4 linked regions of the Drosophila melanogaster genome follow. The protein of the gene in region 4 interacts with the protein of the main gene of each other region in a pairwise test. Each region holds a gene or a part of one and is shown on either strand. Other genes may lie near its edges.

Region 1 (4,178 bases), on a different chromosome or scaffold from region 4:
GGACCACGAGTGGCCATGGTCGTGGGAGCACTGACCTATACGTGAGTATATACCCCCCCACCGGTCCGACTCATACATTTTGGTACCTAAAACATTTGAAACTCTTTTGCAGAGCCTTCATGATCACGTTCATGTTCCCGTCGACGGTATTGCTGTACGTGGGCAGCGCAGTGCTGGGATTGGGTGCCTCGATCACTTGGACGGGACAGGGAACGTATCTGGCGCGCTGCAGTGAATCTTCCACGATTTCCCGTAACTCTGGCGTCTTCTGGGCCCTGCTGCAGTGCAGCATGTTCATTGGGAATCTGTTCGTGTACTATCAGTTCCAGGACAAGACCCGCATCGACAAGGAGACACGGAATCTGGTCATCGGCGTGCTCACGGTAATTGCTGTGCTGGGCATCGTGTTTCTGGCCGCACTGAGATTCATGGCCGATAATGCCGAGCACGACAACGAGCTGGAACAGAAGCACACGGGCTGTGGACAGGCCATATACGCATTGAAGTCCGCAGGACAATTGTTCCTCACCAAAAAGATGCTGCTCCTTAGTCTGGCCTTCTTTTACACAGGTGGGTTGGATTGTGGTCAAAACTGAATAGAATCAGAGATACTAAGTGCTTAAACATAACTTTCTAGGCCTGGAGCTGTCATTCTTTAGCGGAGTTTTTGGATCAGCGATTGGATTCACCACGAAAATAGCCGAAACACCGAAGGAGATCGTTGGACTGGTGGGCATTTGCATTGGAGCCGGCGAGGTCTTTGGAGGAGGACTATTCGGCATACTGGGCAACAAGACGACGAGATATGGACGCGATCCCATCGTGATTGCCGGCTATGTGATGCACATGGCAGCCTTCTTCATGACGTTCATCAACCTGCCGAACAGTGCACCGTTTAAAGATACCACCGATATATCCTATCTGGACCCGCCCCGAGCCAGCATCGCCTTGGTGTGTGCCTTCCTTTTGGGCCTGGGCGATGCCTGTTTCAACACTCAGATCTACTCCATGCTTGGCGGGGAGTATGTGAACAATGCCGTGGGAGCCTTTGCCCTGTTCAAGTTCACCCAGTCGGTGGCGGCGGCCATTAGCTTCTTCTACTCCTCGCACTTCGGGCTGTACGTGCAGCTGGGCATCCTGGTGGTTATGGGAACCATTGGCACCATTGCCTTCGTCTTCGTAGAGTGGGGCTTCAAGCGGCAGCACCGCGAGCAGGAGGCGTTGGAGAAGTAATTCCGTTGTGGGACTCAGAGGATCTAGAGTATTAGATGCAGGTTCTTGTTAGAACTCTAGGGCTAGGGCCATTTGTCCGTGTTTGTTAAATTCCTCGGAATGCTTTAAATCCGTGCGACTGCGTCGTCTTCCTAGACAATAACTGATAAGTGTTGTTGCGCGCTATTGTTGCTAAATATACGTATTTTAATGTTGGCATTCCAAAAAACGTAATTGTAATCTAGTTGTCTATGTTTTTATATGTGTGTATTGTATATGTGCGTTTATTTATTTTAAGCGGCGATTGTGCAAATATAAGATAGTAAACCACAAATTTGGAGTATTATAAGAAATATATAACGAATTTTAAGAAAATAATAGTTGTTATGGATCTTACTTGTGTGCTACTCATTAATAATAGAATTTTGTGCTTTTATTTCATTTTTCAACTATTTGATATATTTTTGAACTGCCTAGATTTCATACTTTGAAATTCGCACACTCGATTACGATGAGTCGATATCTTTTAAAATCGATAGTACCATGTGCAACTATCGGTTGTCTGCCCATGAGCACTCATTTCGCCCATTCCTAAAAGAAATCATTCAATTTTGAAAGACTTGAATGAAACCATGAAAAATGGCCAAGAATAAGTCGACTGTGTACCTAGGATACGAGGATGAGGAGGTTACGGCCAAGCAGGAGCAGCTCCTGAACAGTTGCACAAACAAAATCGGTGGCACACCCGTAAGATAGGCGATTGCATCGACTTCAATAGAGGCAGCGGATAATTGAAATTGATTTTTACCCACAGGATTGGCCCAGACACGAGGTGACCATTCCGTCATGCCCGCTGTGCGGTGCAGTGCGTCCACTGATCGTGCAGATGTACGCCCCGCTGGATCGCTCCCAATTCCATCGCAGCCTTTACGTTTTTGGATGCATGAACCCAGTTTGCTCTCAGAATTCAAAGAGCTGGTGTTGTGTGCGCACTCAGCACCTGGACCACCAGTACGAGGTGATCAGTGAGCATTCGCCGAAGGCAACGCCAACTAAGAAGCAGAACTCCAAAAAAAAGGGGAAGTCGAGCGGATTGCAGGCTATCAGCTGGTGTAGTGGAGCGGACGACTGGGGCGACAGCAGTGGTGGAGCAACCGAACAGGCCAAGACCATCTCCGTGGCATTGGACGAGGCTATGGACATCACCGCGGACGACGACCAGAACGAACGGAATGGCAATGTGCGACCGAATGCCCTGCAGTACGCCAAGTCAGACATCCAAATAGATGAACCAGCCAAACTTGAGCAGGTAAAGATTGCCGCCGATGATGACGACGACGAGGACGAGAGCACTTCGCTGGAGAACGAATTGATCTCTGGCTTTCATCAAATGGACATGATCTCGCCGCAAAACGCCGACGATGATCCAAATGCTAATTGTGCAGCGGCCGCCGCTCCCAGTTTGGATGGAGCTGGAGCCAGTGCCGCCTCAGCGGCCATTGGTGCTGAGATCGAGGGTCCCGAAACGGATCTGGTGCTGGTCGACACGCCCAAGAAGCCGGAACGCGACCTGATTGCCTTGTTGAAGCACACCTCGGGTGCGCTGTCGCAGATCAAGGACCTAACGCTAAAGTCTTACTATATTGCCGTCGATGTAGAGAACAAGACCCAGGCGGAGGAGTACGAAAACTTCGGAGGCGCTTTGTCCATGGACCACATTCGTGATTTGTATCAGGAGTACAAGCTGAGAGACCAGAATCCGGGTCAGTCACCGACCGGCGGTGCATCTGGACCAGGAGAGCAGGGCGATGAGAACGAGTCCTACGAGAAGGCATTGCCAGCCCATGGCGATTTGGTGTTTCACAACTTTATCACTACCATCCATCAGAATCCGGGCCAGCTGTTGAGGTAAACATTGTACTTCTATCCTCATTAACTTTCCTCTTACCCAAGTTGTTCTGCTTCAGATATTCGCGGGATACGATCCCGCTGTTGGTGGCCCCGTTCACGGAACCTCTGCCCAAGTGCCAGAATTGCAGGGGAGAGACCATCTGCGAGGTGCAGCTGCTGCCCACACTGATTCCCAAGCTGCGGTTCCAGGTGAACGGTTGCAATGCACCAATCGAGTTTGGCAACGTGCTGGTCTTCACCTGCCTCAAGAGCTGCTGGGACACACCCGACCTGATGCGCTACGAACATATTGTGGTTCAGTCTGAAACTTAAGGTGCCGTACACGGCCATTTCCCAAAGCCATTAGAGTCATTCGCTGTAGCCGCTACGATTGCAGACTGGTGCAACGAATTTTAAACGCAAACTGCAGAGATAAAGCTAAGCTTCTCGATTGTCCTAGGAAGATTTTATGCTCTAGTTGTTAAGAACGTTGTAAGCTTTTAGACACTCCAAAAATGGATAGTTGCTAATAATATCTCGTTATTTCCACTCCCCCTCTAAAAGGGTTTCAAAACATATTGTTTTATTTCCAACTTGCAGAAATCCATTCTAATTCTAATTAACCTAAGCCAATGGTGCATCAGCATCAAGATGGTAGCTCTTTACGGTTGAGAACCTCAGCGCCGGATATTTGGCCTCGGTCAAATCGAACTCGGAGCTGATGTCCACCTTGTTGCGCTTCTGCACGAGCGTGTAATGTGACCAAACCAACTGGGCGCATCGGCGCTTGGTGGTGCCTGCGATGCGCAGCTCGATCAGGAACTGTGAGGAGTCCTCATCCACTGGCATGATACTCCCTCGCCTCTGCCGCACGTTAGCCGGCCCTCGCTGCTGCGACTTTTGCAGCACCAGAGTGACTGTGCTCCCGAAGAGACGATAGCGACCCCGAAGCATTTCCGCCCGTACGTTGTTCACGTGCTTCAGTTTGGATACACCTTGCGCCGGCTCATCGGCAGTCGTCATCATCAGCACCTTGCCATCGGGCAGAAAGCGAATGTAGCGATAGTACTCCACCA
Region 2 (5,541 bases), 3.4 Mb from region 4:
GGGCAAAAAAGGCGAAAACATGCGGCTAAAACACGATCGCGCGCATTAACACAATGGCACAAGATTTTAGCCGCGTAATGAACATGGCTCGTACCGCCTGAGGGCGCAAAACATATAGCCTCAGCATCGGCGATAGCAACATACACTTTCGATTCGCACCCAAATCGATGCAAACTAATGCTTTCTGACAGGCCCAAGTGCGTGGCAACCACGTGAATCCAATCCAATCCAATCCGATTCCGATTCGATTGGATCCAAAGACAGTCGCGAGGTGAACAACATGCAACAAGTGGCCTGGGAGAGGCGCTCTAAAAACCAGTCCAGATGATCTGGGTGTGCCGGCTGGAACTACACTAATGCGAAATCTACAAGGCGAAGCTGGAGGAGAACACATTTCAATCAGTTTGCAATCAGGCTTAATCTACAGCACAACTTGACAATGTTTTATAAGTTATGTTCAAGCTAAATTTGGTAAAATGCTTGAAACATTCCATTAATTTGCGGCTACAAGCTGAATTTACAGGTATTATTTTATTAAGTAATATATAATTCAATTGCTTATCTTTTTAGAAGTGGGACTTTTTAATGTTAATTCTCAAAGATTTGAGATTCATTCATTCAATGCTCTCTACAACTTTTTGCTACAGTTTGCAACTGCATTTATATTTAACTAGCTGAAATGTACAATATTGCAAGAGCACTGGCGTTTCGAACAGTAAAAGTTATAAAATGATTTCCATACATTTGGCAAATGTGTTTAAACAATTTGTTACCGAAAATACTACAAAAATTACACACTAAGCAAAGGGCGAAAGCATTAGAACTACAACTAAAAGCCCTAACCTACGGTTTCTATTAGCTGCAGGGACTTACGCACTACACATCGTACAATTTCATGTTCTCGATCTCGTCCAGCGTATCCTCCGATCCGGATGCCGTCAGATCCGACAGCTCGTCCAGGCACTTCTGTCGCTTGCGCACATTCCAGTGCAGTCCGTCGGCTAGGGAGGCGAACCAGTCGGATATCTGATCCTGGGCGCAGATGCATGGCACGGGATAAATGGAGGTGGTCACGCGAAGGCTGTCGCCATGGAAGAGCTCCTGCCTGTTGCGTCCATCGAAGCTAACCCACGATGTGTTGCGGCTCTCGGGGGATACTGATATCTGAAAATGTAGCAGATGTTAGAAACGGATCTATGGGAATTATGAGTAAAGCGACCCACCTTCAGCTCCACTCCTGCTGGCACCACAATGGGTCGGAAGCTAAGCGAATGCGGGCAGATGGGAGTCACCATAATCGCCGGCACGGAGGGATGGATCATGGACGCACCGGCCGCCGCCGCATATGCCGTGCTTCCCGTGGGCGTCGATACGATCAGACCGTCGCCCTGCACCGACGTGATATACTTTCCGTCCAGAAACAGATCAATATTGCTCAGATACGGCGATGGACCACGATCAATGACCACTTCGTTGAGCACCAGTATGCTGTTGGCTGCAGGTCGCGCCTCACCATCTAGATCTGCCTCCAGAGTCTTAGCCTCGTGTTTCCTATCGCTCCTGCGATGCATAACACAGCGCAAACGACTGCGAAGCGTTAGGGCAGCGTGACCCTCCAGGACGCTGGTCAGCTGCTCCTCAAAGTTATCGAAACGGAAGGGTGTGAGAAAGCCGAGGGAGCCCAAATGGAAGGCCATGACGGGGGGCACAGATTGCTGGAAGAGCAGCGAAGCATACAGCAGGGTGCCATCGCCACCCAGGCAAACTATAAAGTCTATGCGATCGGTCAGATCATCTCGGCCATCTCTGCGGGCATAATGAATAGGTTATTTATATTATATACACATTCTCATTAAACACCGACTCACTTGAAAGTCACTAGCTTATCCCGAATGGCCTTGAATCGCACATTTTCGTTGAGCTGGACATCCTCCAGCACGGCCGACTCCACCCAAACGACCATGTTCTTCTCCTGCAGCAGCCAGTCCACCAGGTAGACGAACGGTGCCAGCACCGAGGCATCGCTGACCTTCTTGATCACGAGCACGGTGAGTGGTGGCTTGTACCAGGTGAGACGTTGACTAGCCGGATCCTGGATCTGCATCACCATGGCGGAGTTTTTCATGATGCGACCACATGGTCCGAACTGCTGGACAGGCGAGGGTGCATTCAAGCTGCGAGTGCGCCTGTAAAATAGAGTTGGGAAAACAGAACAATTAGTATGGATAACTTTGTTGTACCTAGCTCCTTAAAGACCTTAAAATATGGCGATTGGTTTTGGGCCTTAGAATTGGCTCCTCCCGAATGCAATTGTTATTGCAATCATTTATATCCTCCCACTTCACATTGTTGAACTCTTCGATGCTCAAGGAGCTGTGGAGCGGAAACGAGGCAACCGCCTGCGGCTGATCAGGACGCAGGGGAAACATTTGTTCAATATTTCAACAGGATTTTCAGAATATTTGGCTTGTTTTCTCCACCTTTGCAGTATGCAGACTAAGTTCTCTCAACTGTAAATCAACCTTATGCAAATGGCGACTGCGAAGGCAGACAGAAGTCGAGAGAAAAACATTGGGGAACATTGGTGGGATACGATTCCCCAGAATCGCATTTCCAATTCCCCTTCCTGCTTGCATTCGTAGATGCACTAAGAAAAACAGGGGCTTGGTTAAACATTCAGTTGTAAGGGAACTTATGTACAATAAAGTAAGCAACAATAAAGTATTTGATTTAAAAGATCTACTTTAAATGCTATAAAAGTTTTGAAATTCGAACATTTGGAACAATAAATCTTTATTCCACTTGAATATGTAAGTAGGAACCATATTTTTGCCAGTGCACTTATTGCGCCATCGTACCGATTTGGATTTGGATTACGAATTCCATGCTTTTCGCATGCAATTTCATAGCTAGGGGAACCTTTCAGCTGTTTGTCCACTTACGGCCAGGTGCCGGAACGCCTGCGTCGCCCACCACCTGACGACGACGAATCAATGGCATTGGCATTCTCCCGGGAACGTCCCCGTGCCAGACAGTTTCCGTTGTGGTCCGGCTGCACTTTCCTCTGCAGATTGCGCTCGAGACAGAGCCGCGTCATGGCACTGAATCCGACATGATGATAATGATGCTGATGGTATATGTGGTGGCTATTGGGCAATCCGTAGTGCCAGCGCTGCTCCAAGCGATTCTCGTGCAAGGTGGCCAAATCAATGTCCGACAATGCCATTTCTGCGATTGTAACTCCACTTTTGTGTCCAAAAAAGAATGCGGTTTCATACACTTGCGCTCATGGAATGCAGTCGGACGGCATTGTTTTTGGCCAGCGGAAAAGGGACCAAGGTTAGAGTTTTGTTTTCACAACACGAGAGTCGGTTGCTTTTAAAAATAACACGCCCACGCACTTTTCATCGATGAGCCAACAAAATATGAGCCCAAAAAATGTGAATGTGTCGGCCGTAAAAGAGAAAGTGTTTTATCAGCGAATGTGACACACAAACTGGTAATCAGAAATGCATTACGCTGATGGAGTGTTTAAGAAAAACTAGGCTTTATGCTTTATGTGTTCACTTTAACTTTATGCCAAGGGTGAGATAATTTTCCAACGATTTTCCACCACTGATTATTGCGCACAAATGGGCGGAAAATTGATGGCCATAATGGAAATGACGGAGGGCCCTGAATTTGTCAACCGGGCGATCGCGAGTGCGAGCAACAACTGAGCGCCTGAGTTGACCACGTTGGTCCGCAGCGGACTGGGTTTTCTACTCCGCACCATTGACAGCTTCCCGATTCCAATCCAGATCGCACTTAGCTGAGCGCAGGCGCAGAGGCCTTGGCGATCAATTAGCAGTTCAATTGATAACATCGAAGCTATCAAAGCGTATCAATTGCCGAAATTGGCACAAGTCTAGACCAAATCGCTTTTCAATTTCTTTCGTTTAAATGGAATTAAGAAAACTATTTTAAGATGGGTTATTCAACTTTTACGAGGAAAACATGAGTGAAGAGGTTATATCTATGAGTTCCTAAACTTACTTAATATGGTTAATTATTTATGCTTACAAAATTCCTGCCAAGAACCTAGTACATGCCTTTTTTGCCATTGTACTAATAAACTTAAGCAACATAGCACTTTTGTTAGCCTAAAATCGATGTCAGCCTAGTTAATTAATAATTAGTAAGCTTATAGTAATATATTAAAAACAAACAAACAAAACATACACTGAATGCTAGTCGCGTGCCAGGTCAATGGAATTATCGCTTAAAGCACCTATTCGTACGGCCACCACTGTGTTGTTGCATGTGAGATGGGAATCCGATAAGAGTTGTGTATAAGACCGCATGATTACAAATTCGGGCAGGTGATTGGGACCTTACCACCACCAGCTGCTGGTCATGTGGTTGCCGCCCAGTCCCGGAGCCGAGGTGGATGCAGTTGCTCCATCCACCGTTCCAGGGGCATGCAACAGATGACTTCCATCGGCAGCGGCGTCCTTTTCGGTGCAGAAATATTCCTCTTGGTCGGAGGAGTTTAGGTCCTCTGGTGCTGGCATTCCACTTGTATGCCTGCAGATGCTTGGAGAGATCAGGGACACATCTGTGCCCTATCTGGAGGAATGCCGTGCTATATATGCCGTTTAAATGCAGTACACCGCACTGATTGTTAACGAATTCTTTCGATGCAAAAAAAAAACTGGTCAAAGTTTTGGCTAGGGCTGTCAATAAGTCGATTAAATAATCGATAGCATCGATTTCTTGGCCCATCGCGAAAGTAAGCGCGAAATTTAAAAACCCAACGGATGTCTTCACCTTCGTCATTCAGAAGAGCATTCGTCATTCATAATTAATGTCGACAAAGGAGTGTACTTGGCATTGCAAATTAGTCAGGCACGTGAAAACACCATTTTTATTTTTAGCCTAATTTGTACGTGTTTTTGAGTGCTTTTAACCTCTCAAACAAACATTTTTGTTGTTTATTTTTAGAACCGCTTATAAACAATATACAACTATATGGCGGAGAAATGGCATTGTGTGAAAAACTTTAATTAGATCTAAGAATATCATTTAATATATTGTTTTTTAATGTGTTTTTATTGCACAGATAGCTATTAATAGCACTTGGAATCTTTCTTTAATAGGAAATCTACTATAGACACTGTTGAAACTAGCTTTAGCTGTAGTTTTTGTATAAAACCTAGTCTAAACTACATGTTTACTATGTTTACCTCTTTATTTCCCTTCCTGTGAAGCTTTCTTAGTCCACCCACCTGAATTGTTTACGCCTCTCACTCAAATCCAGGACTCTTCTCAATGGCTTGGGTGAGTTGCCCGGCGACGTGGCTGCCGCTCCATCATTTTCCTCCTCCAGAGAACTGGACACCGAGGTACTTGCCACCATTTGGAGGGCCAATTGGAGATCCTCCTCACGCATTTTTTGTTGTTTTTTTTTATTGGAAAAGTATGAAAAAAAAACCGAGTTTTGAGACGACAACCTCGTTGTTCCGGTGGCGAGATCCAACTAAGTGACTTCTCGTGCTTCGT
Region 3 (7,163 bases), on a different chromosome or scaffold from region 4:
GTTCGATCCGTTATACAAATAGTCGCGGACTTCAGCAAGGCATAAATCTATTCGCGCCATTCAAAGCCAGAAATTGAACATTAATAACATACTAGAAAAGCCATATCGAATACGAGTAGAATACATCTCCAAGTATATTTAGAGATCAACATCAGCGGCGCAGTCCGCAAAAAATATTCTCACTGTTGTGGCTCGTCAATTCGGGTGTTTTTGAAGTGCCGTGTGTCATATGCGAAACAATTTCAAAACCAAAATCACTCGAAAATAGACGCTGACTCGGTAAGTCTATAAATATTCTCGCCAATGCGATACCAAAACTAACGTAAACACACCTGGCTGAAGGCGATTTATTTGATATTTGTGTCTGAAACAAAAAAAAATTATATTAAAACAAAAAATAATTTATTTAGTTTGGCCAACCCCTTGGCAACGTATTTTCGTGGTCAACGTCACGGAGCATAAAACCATACCATACCTATAGGATGTCGAATAAAATGAATAGAAATGTGAATAATGCGCGCAAGTGGGCGTGGGACGGAATCATTAAAATTTTGTTCCCAAGGGGTTATTTCGGGTGGGGGGTGATCCTAAAAGTGCATTAGCAATAAGAACTTTGCTCTAGGTGGGTGGGTGAGTAAAGCATTTATTACACAACATTCTCAGCAGGCACGTGTTATAATTATTATAATATAACTAGGGATTCCTCACAAGTATATATGCGAATAAATACAATCTCTTAAGTTCTTCTCTTGAGTGAGAGTTTTGAGTGCTGTGAAAAGCTTTCGGGTCAGCTGTGTGAGGCATATTGGCATCATATTTATATTTAGAAAACCATTTCAGTACGGTTATGGAACATTTCGATGTTTTTCTCGAGAGGCCACACACACACACAACCAAGGATTTATTCCTGTACGTATATGTAGGGAACGTTCTTTGTGCGTATGTTGAGCAATTATTTTTCACGATGTTTGTCGGCCGAACAAGCTATATATAGACCAGATGAGCTGGCTCAATCCGAACCGAACGATCCCGAAACAAACGGAATTGAACTCAACCCAACCACCCACCGGTCATTCCAATCAGATTGCCAACCAACCATTTAGATGCAGAAATCTCAGGTATGCACACCCAATTAAATCAATTAAAACTACGAAAACCATTTCGAAATCATTTTGTTTTCATGGAACCCACTGGGGCATATATTATTGGATGTTATGTGTGTGTGTGTGTGTATGCAGAACATGTACGCTGATGTATATATATATAAATAAATATTTTATATCTGCCATGGCTGGCATCCCAAACAGAATGCAAGAGATTAGATGGGTGAGAAATCATTCAAACATCATTATAAATAATCAGATTTCATAAGTATATCGTAAGAACTAAATCAGCTAAATATACAACATCATATCTTTCATCATTGTTCGTCGTAAGAGTATATTTATGTGTATAAAATTTTTCCATTTGCACAAAGTATGCTTTTGGGTAATTCGATTTGGAGCATAAGACATACTTGGCTGGTCTTCGAAAATAAATAGTTTAAGATACAAAAAAGTAATAACGACTTTGGCTCGCAGCAGTTTCACCTGCAGAAAGTTTTGCTTTTCTCGATGTGGTCAATGTCGTTTAGTTCGTTAGTCTGTGTTCGATGGTTAGTTTCGCTTTGAGTCGTAAGTTTTATGTTTTTGGCATTTATTCTTTTTTTCTTGTTTTCATATTAAACTTAATCTCACATAACCTAAAGAAAATTGAATTGCATTCAGTGCATCGTTGATCAAAAATCGTTGGAAGCAAAACGAAGACTAAGTTAGCTAATTTCAGGGATAGTTAGTTAAAACAGATTGGTCATTAGACAGATGCATCGGAACGGTTCACAGACATGGATGTGGGTTTCGATTGGATATACATAAAATAGGCTCGTTTAGAACGTTGTCAAAGCGCCCGCGCCCAGACCGTAGCCCACTCCCTTGGGTCCAAAATTGCGGCCGTAGCAGGCTCGGCAGTAGATATCGCCGTCGGGTCCATCGTTCAGGTTGGTCGAGTCCAGCGATTTGCGGCAATCCGAGCAGTAGAAGCACCTCTTGTGCCAGATCCTGGTCTTGCTGATCATCTGCTCGGCGGCGAACACGGCGAAACCGCAACGCGGGCAGCCGCCCGAAGTCTTGGGTCCGGCCAGAGGACGGCCATCTGGGAACTGGATGGTGCTCTCGCCACTGGTTGACACTAGAGTGGGGGCGTGGCCGTAACCAAAGCCCTTGGGGCCGAAGAGCTTGCCGTAGCAGGCGCGGCAGTGGATGTCGCCATCGGGTCCATCGCAGGCCAGGACCGAGTCCAATGGCCGGTGGCAGTCGGCGCAGTTGTAGCACTTCTTGTGCCACACCTTGCCCTTGGACAGCTGTTGCTCGGCGGCGAATACGGCTCCTCCGCACCGGGGACAGCCTTCGCCGTCACGGGCCTTAATTGACGTGGTGTCCGGGTTATAGAAGGGCCTGTTGGCGCTGATCTGATCCTCGGTCAAGCCATCGGTCTGCAGGAAACCAGAGCCGCATGCGAATCCATAGCCATGTGGTCCCCACTTCTTGCCGTAGCAGGTGCGGCAGTACACATCACGATCGGGACCATCACTGGCATTGATCGAGTCCAGAGTCTTGTGGCAATCCTTGCAGTTGAAGCACTTCTTGTGCCACTCCCGACCCTTGGAAAGCTTCTGCTCCGCTGCGTAGACCACACCGCCGCAACGTGGGCAACCCTCACCCGGACGGGCCTGGATCTTGTCCACATCAATGGCGGCACGGATTTGCGGTGCTCCGTCGTCGTGAGCATAGCAGTCGGACTGGAGAGCACCACCGCCCTGGCCATAACCATAGCCCTTGGGTCCAAACTTCTTGGCATAGCAGCCCTTGCAGTAGATGTTCTTGTCCGGAGCCTCGCAGCACAGGATCGAGTCCAGACCCTTCTTGCAGGTACCGCACTTGAAGCACTCCTTGTGCCAGCTGCGACCGCGGGCTAACATCTGTTCGGCGGCGTACACATAGCCACCGCAACGAGGACAGCCCTCACCTTCGGGGGCACGAGCAATAGCCCTGGGTTCCAGGCGGGCTCCATTCCTTACGGACGGCACATCGCCGTTCTCGCGCAGGAACTGTGACCCGTTGTCCATGGAGAGGGTGCCAGCTCCAGTGCCGAAGCCGTAACCTTTCGGCCCGAACTTGCGACCGTGGCACGTCTTGCAGTAGAGCTCGCGCTCGTGCTCTGTGCAGTTGGTGGAGTCCAGGGATTTGTTGCACATTCCGCACTTGAAGCAGTTCTTGTGGAATACATAGCCGCCAGCCAGACGCTCTTCGGCAGCGTAGACACTCTTGCCGCAGCGCGGACACTTGGGGGCCTCGATCGGTTGGAAGGAAGGCATTCTGTCTGTGTTTCGGTTTTTTTAACGCTATCAAAATGATCTACGCGAGTACAATTACTTTACTTATTAAGTTTATTATCTGAAATAGCAAAATAGAAGAACACATAGAGTCGATGGGATCGTGGCGTAAGTCCTGCTGGGAAATGCAGCAGAGTGGAAGCTTTGGTGGCGATGAAAGCGATGAGGTAAGCATCTGTCATTTTTGTATGTTAAATGGTTTCCAAATTATTCTAAGCCCAACTAGTTAATTCAAGCTAATCTACATGTTAACCTATTTGGACGATTAAGACGCTTGTTTTATCTTAAGTTTACAATGAACTATTACAAATTCAACTTGACAGTCGCGAATTTCTCCTCAATTTGCATTATGTAGATCATCTATCAAGATTCTTATCTGTCAGTCGAGACGTCATCGCCCGTGCCAGAAAATTACCCAACCGGACGTATGTATACGTAATTCATATTGAAGATTCCTATGTTAATGATCAGAAAATAACATCTTTCTCATGACAACAAAAAATAAAGGAGGAATTTTTCAAATCACAGAACACAGAGAAAAACATGAGCAATAAATGTGTATCTATCTATACAGAAAATGTTGTATAAAAATAACGCAGACAGGTAGATAGATTTGGGAAAAGCACACACAAAAAATAACTGTGGCAGATATATATATGTACATATCTGGGTGTTCTAAAACTGAGTCAGAGCTAAAGCACCACCATCAGATGAGCATCGTCCCTGGCCGGTAATCTGGTTATCTAGCGGTTGCGATGGATTAGTCAGGTGCTTTGCAATGGTCTTTTGCTGCGTGCAAAAAAATCGGTTAAGAGCTGGCGATATCCAACCGTTGGGTGTGAGTGTATTATAGCCAAGATAGAACGGAACCTACAACGCACTAAAACCACACACGGAAGCGCCGAGTACTGAACTGGAAGATTGCTCAAAGCAAACTAGTCTATATAATTGTGAGTGCACACGGCACGGCAACGCGGTCGACTTTTCGCCGCTGCCACTGAGTTTTCCTGCTCAGCACACCGAGTTGAGAAACTTAAGATGCGGCAACACGGAGCAGTTTTCCTTCGTTTTATTTCAGTTTTCATCAAATAACGCCAGAGAGTGGGATGGAAACATATTGGTATGCATCTGCGGTTTTTAAACTTTTTCGATTCTTCGAAAAAGTTTTTTATTCCATATCCTTCACTCGTTTTTTCTTGACCGTATCTCATTCTTGGATGTTTGCTAACTTTTGTGTATATTATATGCACATTTATCCCAGTGGGAGATTATCAAAGATGATCGAAAAGTTGCATATCATTGGAAACCTCAGGCATCTGGGAGTTTGTTTATATTCCCGACTAAATATAATACTTTTTGCATGCAATAAGATTATAAAACTCATCAAAATGTACGTGTTTTTTACGTCGAGTAAGGACTGTATCTTTAATTTTTCTCTATTCAAGGATAGTGACTATTCGATTTGATCTGATGAAAAGATGATCGATTTGTACTTGAATAAAACTCGATTGAAAAAAAAACTCCTCGCAAATAGTTCTCATTTTATTGAGTGAGACAGTTTCCGTAAAGTTTTTTCACACTCGAAAAAACGGAATCTATTAATAATAGTGTGTGGGAAAAATGCTTCCTGTGTGGAGCCATACATTCCTCCTCTCATTTGTGGGTCAAATTATGGTCCAAATTACGCACAAGTTCTAAATTTAAACGATCGCTTGACAAAACTGTATTTTCATCGCTTCGCGTTTGGTTTGTAGCAGAGCTTGAACCGATATTTTTTAGACAAGCACAACACAAAATATTGGAATTTACTGGGTTATGCGTGATTGGTTTTGGTTTTGGTTTTCGTTTTCCATTGACAAAAACTGATATTTACTTTTCGTTCGTAATAAAAAGGTTCGCAAGAGAAATATCCTTAATTTTAGTTTAGCTTCGATTAACAACGATTTTCGACTGATCGCGCTGAAAAATTTGTCAAGCGCTTTCAGTCTTTGTCTGCACACGGCACGAAGGCAACTTTGTCGCCAGAGAAAATGATAGGGATGACTATATAGCCCCAACAATAAATACATTAGCCATCCGAACAAGAATCCCAACAAATCACAAAATATCTGCTCTCACATATACAATATGCTAGTATACAAGAAAAATGTGCTTTCATAAATTGTATATACGGTCATTTTATAGCAGAATATTCCAGGTGATCGTGCTCATGACAAGGCGAAAAAGATGATGTTGGTATTTTATTGGACCAACAACATGGTTCAACTGTCTTGTTCAAAGCCACTGCCTGCCTGCCTTTCGGAACATTGGCACTTCAACATCAATAAATTAACATGCGCATTTGCATTTAATTAAAATTCGATATTTTGCCATGCATTTTTGGTTCAAAAGGAAATTAATGGGGCATGGGTACATCATTGAGCATCAATCAGATCGGCAAAATAGAACCAGACATGGCGGGGGCCAACTCGGCCAGAAAATACCTCTTAATATCATTACTAAGAATGATTTCATTTTGATATTAGTTCTAATGGTATGATTTTACCGATTATTTTAGTTTTGAAATCAAAGTAGTAGTAGTAAGTTTCTCAAATTTATAACAAACTAATTTAATATTTGATTTATTACAGTATTTCGATCGAAACACACACCATTTTAAAAAATGGATCGATCGAAAATTCCGAAGTTCAAGGGGTAGCATTGAAAAACACGGAATTTCTTAAAGACAAGAACGGGTGGGCAACACCTTTTGTATAATTAACGCGCACCTTCGGCAGAATTTCTCAAAACATTTTTAACATGCATTTGCAATTGCATTTCCACTTATAAGTATGATACAAAAATTGGCAAGGCGCCTGCGTTCAAAACTTTTGGCGAGTGAAACGAATATAGTAGTACTCTCTGTCCCACTCTTTAGGTTTGATCAGAGAAAAACTAAATGACAAGTTGTATACAAGTGTAAAAGATAATGGGAACCATCATTAATATAGCAACATTGTATCCAAAAAGAGAGAAAACACTTTAAGAGAATGTTTCGCAAAAATCACTCAAGAGATCCGAAACAAGTTTCCTTAAAAGTAAAAAAGCTTATATTAACTCAATATTTCGGAACGATAACTGAGTTGTTTATCATTCTATTAATAGTATGCTAAAAGATAAACAAAGAAAAAATCAACTTACCCTCTTGGAGCTCTTCTCGATTTCCTTCTCAAAATCTGTTAGAGGCGTCAGTGCAACTTGAACATCTTTGATATCATAGCGGGATATTAAGCTACAGAAACAACCGAAAAATATATTAGTGTGATTTTTTCTATACATTGTTTCAGTAGAAAAAGGTCTTATACGGGGTTATTTTAGTATTAGTATATTCTCTAATAAACGAAACGGATTCCAAAAGTTGCCTTTTTCAATGAAATTACAAAAACATATTTAAAAAGTCTGGTTTCTCAGTAACATTGGGCACTGTTTAATATACATTATGTTCTAATTATTACAATTTATTTAGAATAACAAAATAAAAGAGTTGTCTACACCGGGTGTTCGATAAATTAACAATTTTGCAAATCATAGATGTGCAACACAGTCCCATTTGTTTCTTTAAAATCAGGCGTAAACTAAGTAACTACCAAATTTTGAAAAATGTAAATTGTAAAAGACCTTTTCTTTGCGTTTCTCGTTCCCCACCTATTGTTATCCTCCAGAGCGGAGCCAGAGGTGGAAATACTGCTAGTGG
Region 4 (7,712 bases):
TTACCAGCCCAGCTCGCGGACATTTCCGGCAATCAGACCCTCGACACCGTCGTTGATTCCATAAACCACATCACCGCGGTAGATGGCATTGCGCACGAAGCTGCGCACAGCGGCATTCATACCGCAAGCCGGAGCACCAATATGCATCACAGCTAGGCGGTATCCTTCGATTCCCTTGCCATCGGCGTCGAAGTTCTCCTTGGGCGGCTTCAAGCGCGTCAGCATCTTGTAGGTCTCCAGATTCCGCTCGAAGGAGCGTCCGCGCAGCTTGACGGCATCCGCCCAGCGTTTCTCCGCCATGGCCTTGGCCACAGCCTGGGTGCGCTCTACGCACTCCATCAGCGGCACGCGAACCGCCTGGTTGCCGTCCAGAGAGATGACCACTGGCACCGAGTCCTTGGTGGCCTCCATCAGGGCCAAAGTGGCCTCAGCTCCCATGCGGCAAGCCTATGCGGGTTAGAAGCATTAACTCTCAAGTCAAAAATAGTGTAATTATATCTTAATAAGTATATCTTATTTTGGTAACTTTAGTGTTTTAAATCGGATTTACAGCGCTTCTTAATATAAGTATGCTATACAAATAAAACAAAAATAGCTGGCATTGTAAATTACTAATTAAAATTAAATTTTGAGGTGATCTTTGGATAATTACTTACCAAAATACGATCGAAGGCACTGGGATTGCCACCGCGCTGCACGTGACCCAAGACAGTGATGCGGGCATCGTGCTTCAGACGCTCGTCGATCACCTTCTTTACATCCTCGGCTGTGATGGGATGACCCTCGCGATCCATGGCTCCCTCGGCCACAATCACGATGTTCAGACGCTGGCCAGCAGATCGCTCCTGTTGGTCAATGGTGAAGGGATTCACTTAAGCATATATGTAAGATACTAATCGTGAATGATACAGAAACTACAAAAGCACAAACGAATTATGAAGAGGCATGATGAGTAGACATCATCATAACAAAAAAAATGTAGTTTACATATGCTTTGCTTTACAATGTTGAAATAGTGTCACCAAATGTGTATCAGCAAGCGAATGAGTGCAGTGCGTTTCATAAAGTTAACTCACGTTATTCTGTGATATTCATGTATTTCAGTTTGCATCATTAAAATGGCTGTGTGCACGTTCTTTTCAATGTATTTAAGTATTTAAATCAGTTTTGAAACTTTGAAATGCACTGCAACTGAATTGGTGTTTTGAAATATGAAGAATGGACGCACAAGTCAAAGTCGATGAATAGAAAACATTGATGAAGATTTACTGATCGATTAAACGAGGATGGACGTTAGTGGATTTGGAAAAGTTAGTAAGGGAACTCAGTGAGATCATCGTGAGTACATAAAACAGAGACTCAAAACCCAAACAAGTAAATCAAATAGCTGTTAAAGCTGTTTATCGCCATGGAAATTTCGGCACATCGAATAGTCCAAAAACAATGCAGAATAAAATTTAGAAATTCAAAAATTTGACAAAAGAGTAACTAGAAATTAATTGGATAGCGAAGGACTCTGGACCTGACCTGGTGGAGCTTGACACAGATCTCGTCCTTCCAATTGACTGACACCGGCTCCTCGGGTATGAACATAAAATCAGCCTCTGTGGCTATGGCTGCCGATATGGCTAAGTAACTAAAAAAACAAGAGATTAGGTACAAAAATAAAAGATGGTTCACAAATGTCGGGGAGATAATTATCCGGGGATTGGGAGTATCTGGGGTAAACTTAAGATTAGTTACAATATGATTTCGGTATGCTGGTACAGACAAAAACTGTGCGTAATTCATTCCGTATCTCCGGTTTGTGTTTAAAGATACATTCGTGTGCAGTAAGCAGAAAATAAGAACAAGCGTTTGTATGGCAAGTGTCGCTCTTAAAATGTGTCTTTCAAAAAATTGTGTACAGGTGTACTACTTAAGCATCAAGCAACGACAACTGCACTGAAGTATACAACTCTATCTAAAACAGGAATATTATCTCGACAGCTAACTGGCTATATTAATAAGAATAATATCCTAAAATCCTATACAAGCTGTCGAGAACATATTTCCGATGCTTTGCGACTTCTCGCAGTGCTGATGGAATGGAAATGGAGCTGCATCTTGCCTGGGCCAGCTGAGAGCAGAGCCTGTCTGGCCAATCGACCTTGGGCGGCATTTCGGGAATGAATATGAAATCCGCCTCGCACGCCAGTCCACCCACAAGAGCTAAATAGCTGCAAAAATATATATTACAAAATATTAGTCAAAAGGGGGATGGGATTTTGGAGGATATGGGGATCGATCGACATAGTACTGCGGCCATAGAAACAGAAATGTGCGAAATGAGTCGACGACATTCAACAGATTTCCGTTTTGGGCTTGCCTGTTCCAATTTAAGGACAAGTCGATCGGGCCAATCGGCCTGCGGAGGAGACTCGGGCAGAAAGACGTAGTCTGCCTCGGAGATAATGCCAGCTACCACCGAAAGATAGCTAGAGATAGTCGTTCCAGGCATTAGCTAAAATCCCAATTAATCACTGACACTTAGGCTAATACAGAGGCATCCCAACTTTTCCTCGCAAATATCCGCTCAGAGATCAACTTACCCGCAATGACGACCCATGACCTCCATGATGAAGGTGCGCTGATGGGAGTAGGCTGTACTGGAGATGGCATCGATTGCCTCGATGATGCGATGTAGTGCCGTGTCCGTGCCGATGGTCATGTCAGTGCCACAGAAATCGTTGTCGATGGAGCCAACCTACAAAAAGATTCATCCATAAGAAAATATATCCAAGGAATACTCTGTGTAGCATACCAATCCAACGATGTGCAGGACATTGAACTTCTCCTGCTGCTCGGTGGTAATGGTCTTGTTCTTGACCAGCTCGTCCAACAGGCTGGACCACTCCTGACGGAACAGATTGGCGCCCGTGAGGGAGCCATCGCCTCCAATGACCACCAGATTGGTGATTCCTCGCTGAATCAGGTTGTTAGCGGCTTTCAAGCGACCCTGACGCTCACGGAAGTCCTGGCAACGGGCGGAGCCAATGATGGTGCCACCACGATGGATAATGGATGAGACTGAGGCCCAGTTGGCTTCCTGGATGCAGTCGCCACCATCCACCATGCCCTGGTAGCCTTCACGAATGAAGTAGACCTTGCCGAAGGTAAACACGAATCAATTGTAGATATGGTGTAAAACAGTTTGGTATAGAGTTTGGTATCTTCATGGCACATGACATCATTAGCACAATTAAAAATGAATCACCGAATTCGAGTATAAATTATTTTAATTTCATTTTCACTCTGCCAAAGTCGTAATATTTTAATAGGAAGCAGTAAAGAACAGTCAATAGAAATTAATATGATATGACTTATCTCATATACTTTCTCAACTTTTACTGAATAAGTTTAAGTTTTAAACAACAAAACATTTGCATATTCAAAATACCGTTACAGGTAATTACAATGTAATCGATGTTAAATCGATACTTTTTAAGCAACTCACATAACCAAGAATTCAAATTTTATAACGCTCTTAATTTGAAAAGTGAAAAAATAACATAAACAATAATGATGCCAAGGCACTAGTAGATTAAAAACAAAGGTTAGATTACTTGAACTGATTTGGAACCATTTGTTTAGCATACTCATGATATATTTATTAATTTTGTTCAATTTATTGAACATATCAAGCGCTGTCATGCAAAGCGTGGCAATAACTTTACTTTTATTGACCCCCAAGAAATTGAAATCAAATGAATAGATTTTAATCAATTTAAATTGGCTAGCAATTGACACATTTTTTGCATATTTTCGAGGGACCAACGGCCGGCCAGAAGTTCCCTAACAAATTAAAGAACTCATTTAAATAAACCGAATAGAAACCAAGAGCGACAACAAAAAAACGAAACAAATTAGCCGAAATCGAAATCGCATGTGAGGGACCCGAAAATAAACCCAATGTCAATGTGCATGTACACATATATTCTTGAATTTCTTTTCGCACCGATTGGAGATTATCTAACTGGCTTTGCGGCCCAATAGTCGTGGTTTAACGGCTGCTGATAAGCAAATTACCAGGTGTTTTACGTAAATTTCTGGGTTCACATGGGTTTGTTGCCTGTGCCTGGGGGTCGGGGTCACCGGACGCGATGCTGCGTGGGCGGAAAGTACTTGACAGAGGTCACCAACTCACCTTGCAGCCCAAATAGATGGCCATACGGACACAGGCTCGCACGGCGGCATTCATGCCCTGGGAATCCCCGCCGCTGGTGAAGACCGCCAGTCCTTTGTCCTTCTGCGAGCCGCGGGCCAGGAATCGTTGATTAATCTCGGAATTCATTTTTCAATCTTTTGCACTATATGTAAATCAAACTGGGGTCGTAACGGATATCGCACAAAGCACACACTATGAACCACTATTGTACTCGGTAGGGAGTTTCCCTGTTTTGCAACTATGCGAGCAGCGCCGCTGGAGCTGGGTTATATCCAAGTGGGCTATAAATACTACTACTGCTCCTTGCCGTGGCTTTTCAGTTACTAGCAATATGTACGCTCGCAGGCGGTATTCACAAGTTTCGCTTTTGCTTTTGACGTTTCAAGGTGACCTTCAGGCCAGAGACGCATACACAACACACACGGACACACGCACACAGCCACGGGCTTTCTGTAAGTGCGTACTGATGCAATGCAAACTTCGGATGGCTAAATCCGCCCAAGAGTTCGCTCCAACGCGATTGCCCTAACTTGGTTTGATTTAGGTCGAAAATCTGAGGATTCTGTCTGTTATGAACGGACTTTTCGCGACTAGCAACGAGCGGAAAATAGCGTTTAACCAATTTGTTTATGTTCGACCCACAATCGTTCAGCTGTTGATCAGCTGGTTATCACTGGGCGAGTAAAAGCTTTCGCGAGCTTTCACCGCTGGGAATGGGGAAATTCGGGAGCAGTCATCGGTTGTGTGTGGGTGCGATTGCCGTTATCGTTATCGTTTATATAATACGTTATTCTGATATTCAAAAAACCGGAAAATGTATCCTCAGATTCGAAAATGTTTATGAAACGCCAATTATTATGCTATATCTCAAGTGTTCAACTGATGTTCTACCCTATCTACAACTATCCGCGTAAAGTAACGAAATGTAAGAGCTTTTATCGTTGAATATTAGTGCTCGTTTAAGTGCGTAATTATTTAAAAAACTGTAAAAAGCGAGACAAACTTACAAAAGGCTTGACTGGATGTACAAAATCAATAACATCCTGCATGGTTCTTAAACACTTTCGCAGCTCATCCACCGATTTGCCACATTTCCTTTTTGGTGCACTCTTTTTCTTTTTCACCGCATTCTTTTCAGAATAGTTCACAGCATTAAGAAATCCGTTGTGCAGATTGTTTATTGGTTTTCCACATCGTTGCGCAGACTTGTCTTTTTGTATGTTTTTTTCACCAGGACTATCATTCTTTTGATCACCAGAATCACTGCGCAACTTTATACAATGTCGTTTGCAATTAAATTTTACACTTAAAAGAGTATTTCCTCTAAGCAAGTAAAAGGAAGAAGTGTTATAATATAAAGTCAAACTATATAAGCACATACGAAATATCTCGAGGACAACACAAATGATGACTTCGTGTGCATTGGATGCCGATGTTTGGAAATGTGAGCTAAAGTAAAACAAAGTCTTATAAATTGATCAAAATTAAATTCGATTTTTACCTTTTGCCTAATCGGAGGTGTTTTGTTTGAGATTTCTAAGCGAAATGTTGTAGGACCATGAAAATGGCGGCAAATGGGTATCCGTCCATTGATTTCCAAAAATCTCCAAACAATCGAACAGCTTATAAGTGGGTGTAGTGAATAAATCAAATTCAGACAACAACTTACATAGGTTTTAATTTGGTAAATACTCGAAATTTTATTGAATGCATGCCAAACTAAATTTTGCTCCTAAATATTGAACATTTTTATTAGATTACCAATTTTTTTCATTTTCTGAACTCATTTTTTTTTTATGATTTTTGACATTTTAGCTAATGTAACTACGATCACAAATATTATATTTGAATAAAAACTCATTTGGTTGGTTTTTGTATTATTTATTTAATTTTTTGTTTTTTTTTTGTTGGTAATTAAGAAACTGTAATTTCAATAAACTTAAATATTCCACTCATACATCAATCTTTGCCTCTGTTATATGCATACAATTTACGCCTACACCCGGTTTAATTTTCATCTGGTTGTTATTATTTTTCGGTTTTATGAATGTATTGCAGTTTCACAATATTATTATTTTATATGTTCTGGGATTCGACTTATTAGCGTTGCGGCAAAAGTGTTTCTTTTATTTAAATATATATTTTTTTGTTTGCTTTTTTTTATATTCCTCACATTCATAATATAGCGATAAATTCAATTGCGAAAATATACATTTACTTTTATCATACATACATATGTTCTGTATGCTGGACAATAATATATTTTCTTTCAATACACATGCAAAGTTTTCTTGTATTTAAATTAAAAATTTGAATAGTTTAGTTCACAATATTTATGTATTTTGATTCGATCTTCATTTAACTTCCGTTTTAATAATTCCATTGCTGATTTGCAGGCTGCAATTGTCATAGATTGAAGAAGTCGACCACGTTTTCGAACGATAATAAAACAGCTAAGAAATAATCGCCAGATTTTAGGAACAATTTGTGGCTGTTTCTTTGTTGGGGAAACGCTTCTCTGGGCTTAAACGTACACATATTTATGCATGTACTTCAAAAAGTTACACCCAACTAACGAATAAATGGGAAATTGGGCAGACATTGCGCACAATAAAACTCGTGCCTTCGCCATGTTGCACAGTAAAAAAAAATGTTAGTGGACTTCCGCGAGGGGATATTAGATTTCATTTCGTTCGAAAAATTCATTTGACAGACGACAGTTGGTTATATGTATGTATTATATGAGTTATGCTTTTCACAATTGTTTATACCAAGAAAAAACAACAAAGAAATTGCAATTGTAGATTTAACCCTTTTGTTTTATGTAAGACATGTATAAAAAATAGCAATGAACAATTATATATTTTCTGTATTTTTCCGTTCTCGCCACATTCCTCTAACAGATATGGTTCCTGATTCATGGGATTTGAACCGATTTCCGCACGTGCATTATAAATGCAGCCCTGTCTGTGTGTGACTGTGTGTATCTGTGTGTGCTTCTGTTTGTGTGTGTGGGGGGCAGGTTGAAAAACGAAAAGTGAACCAATTTCGAAATGAAATAAACGTAAAATGGGAAACTAGGTTTTTTGGTTTTATTTGTTTAGAAAAAGAATTACAAATAATACATAAGTTTGTTTTTATTTTTGTTTTCTCATTTGGTTCGCTTGGTTGTTGTTGTTGTTGCTGTATCTTTTGCAGTTGTTTCTGTTGCCATACGAAAATTAAATATTAATTTGGACTGTTGCAAAAAACGTATAATAACCGATTATCTCATTTCATTTCTTGTGTATACAGTTAGGAATATTATTTAGTTGTTTTTTTTTTGTTGTTTTGTAAGGAGGAAATCCACACGAGGCACCGCCAGGGCGAACAAATTCGGAGCATCTAGAGTTTGGCCGTTTCGATCGGGAAAAACACACACAATAACGAATTATCTGCTAGATTAATTTGATTCAAAATCCGGAAAAATCATGCCAAACTCCCAAATAGTCCGCATTCGTTTGAC

What was found.
Region 1: the proteins of Pfk (region 4) and trus interact in a two-hybrid assay, tested with the Drosophila melanogaster proteins (one large-scale study listed by BioGRID).
Region 2: the proteins of Pfk (region 4) and Nadk1b interact in a two-hybrid assay, tested with the Drosophila melanogaster proteins (one large-scale study listed by BioGRID).
Region 3: the proteins of Pfk (region 4) and Mlp84B interact in a two-hybrid assay, tested with the Drosophila melanogaster proteins (one large-scale study listed by BioGRID).

Annotation. Positions count from the first base shown.
Region 1 is NT_033777.3:12,454,773-12,458,950, forward strand, and holds trus (toys are us), read left to right. Parts: upstream 1-1,800; 5' UTR 1,801-1,851; coding exon 1,852-1,959; intron 1,960-2,026; coding exon 2,027-3,120; intron 3,121-3,179; coding exon 3,180-3,435; 3' UTR 3,436-3,672; downstream 3,673-4,178. Other genes in the region: CG18549 (uncharacterized protein), read left to right, coding at 1-41, 113-570, 638-1,233; CG5961 (uncharacterized protein), read right to left, coding at 3,727-4,178.
Region 2 is NT_033778.4:13,547,731-13,553,271, forward strand, and holds Nadk1b (NAD kinase 1b), read right to left. Parts: upstream 3,721-5,541; 5' UTR 3,227-3,720; coding exon 2,943-3,226; intron 2,529-2,942; exon of another isoform or gene 2,430-2,528; coding exon of another isoform or gene 2,257-2,429; intron 2,187-2,256; coding exon 1,869-2,186; intron 1,807-1,868; coding exon 1,224-1,806; intron 1,165-1,223; coding exon 877-1,164; 3' UTR 514-876; downstream 1-513.
Region 3 is NT_033777.3:7,112,348-7,119,510, forward strand, and holds Mlp84B (muscle LIM protein at 84B), read right to left. Parts: upstream 5,386-7,163; 5' UTR 5,304-5,385; intron 4,370-5,303; exon of another isoform or gene 4,305-4,369; intron 3,492-4,304; 5' UTR 3,413-3,491; coding exon 1,925-3,412; 3' UTR 503-1,924; downstream 1-502. Other genes in the region: Alh (alhambra), read right to left, coding at 6,611-6,701, 7,115-7,163. UniProt on the Drosophila melanogaster protein: Plays a role in cell differentiation late in myogenesis. Transcription factor Mef2 is essential for expression.
Region 4 is NT_033778.4:10,108,050-10,115,761, reverse strand, and holds the start of Pfk (phosphofructokinase), read right to left. Parts: upstream 6,023-7,712; 5' UTR 5,921-6,022; coding exon 5,877-5,920; intron 5,830-5,876; coding exon of another isoform or gene 5,812-5,829; coding exon 5,709-5,811; intron 5,657-5,708; coding exon 5,589-5,656; intron 5,531-5,588; coding exon 5,215-5,530; intron 4,893-5,214; exon of another isoform or gene 4,334-4,892; coding exon of another isoform or gene 4,289-4,333; coding exon 4,187-4,288; intron 3,146-4,186; coding exon 2,804-3,145; intron 2,747-2,803; coding exon 2,592-2,746; intron 2,478-2,591; coding exon of another isoform or gene 2,369-2,477; intron 2,220-2,368; coding exon 2,111-2,219; intron 1,637-2,110; coding exon of another isoform or gene 1,528-1,636; intron 846-1,527; coding exon 657-845; intron 448-656; coding exon 5-447; intron 1-4.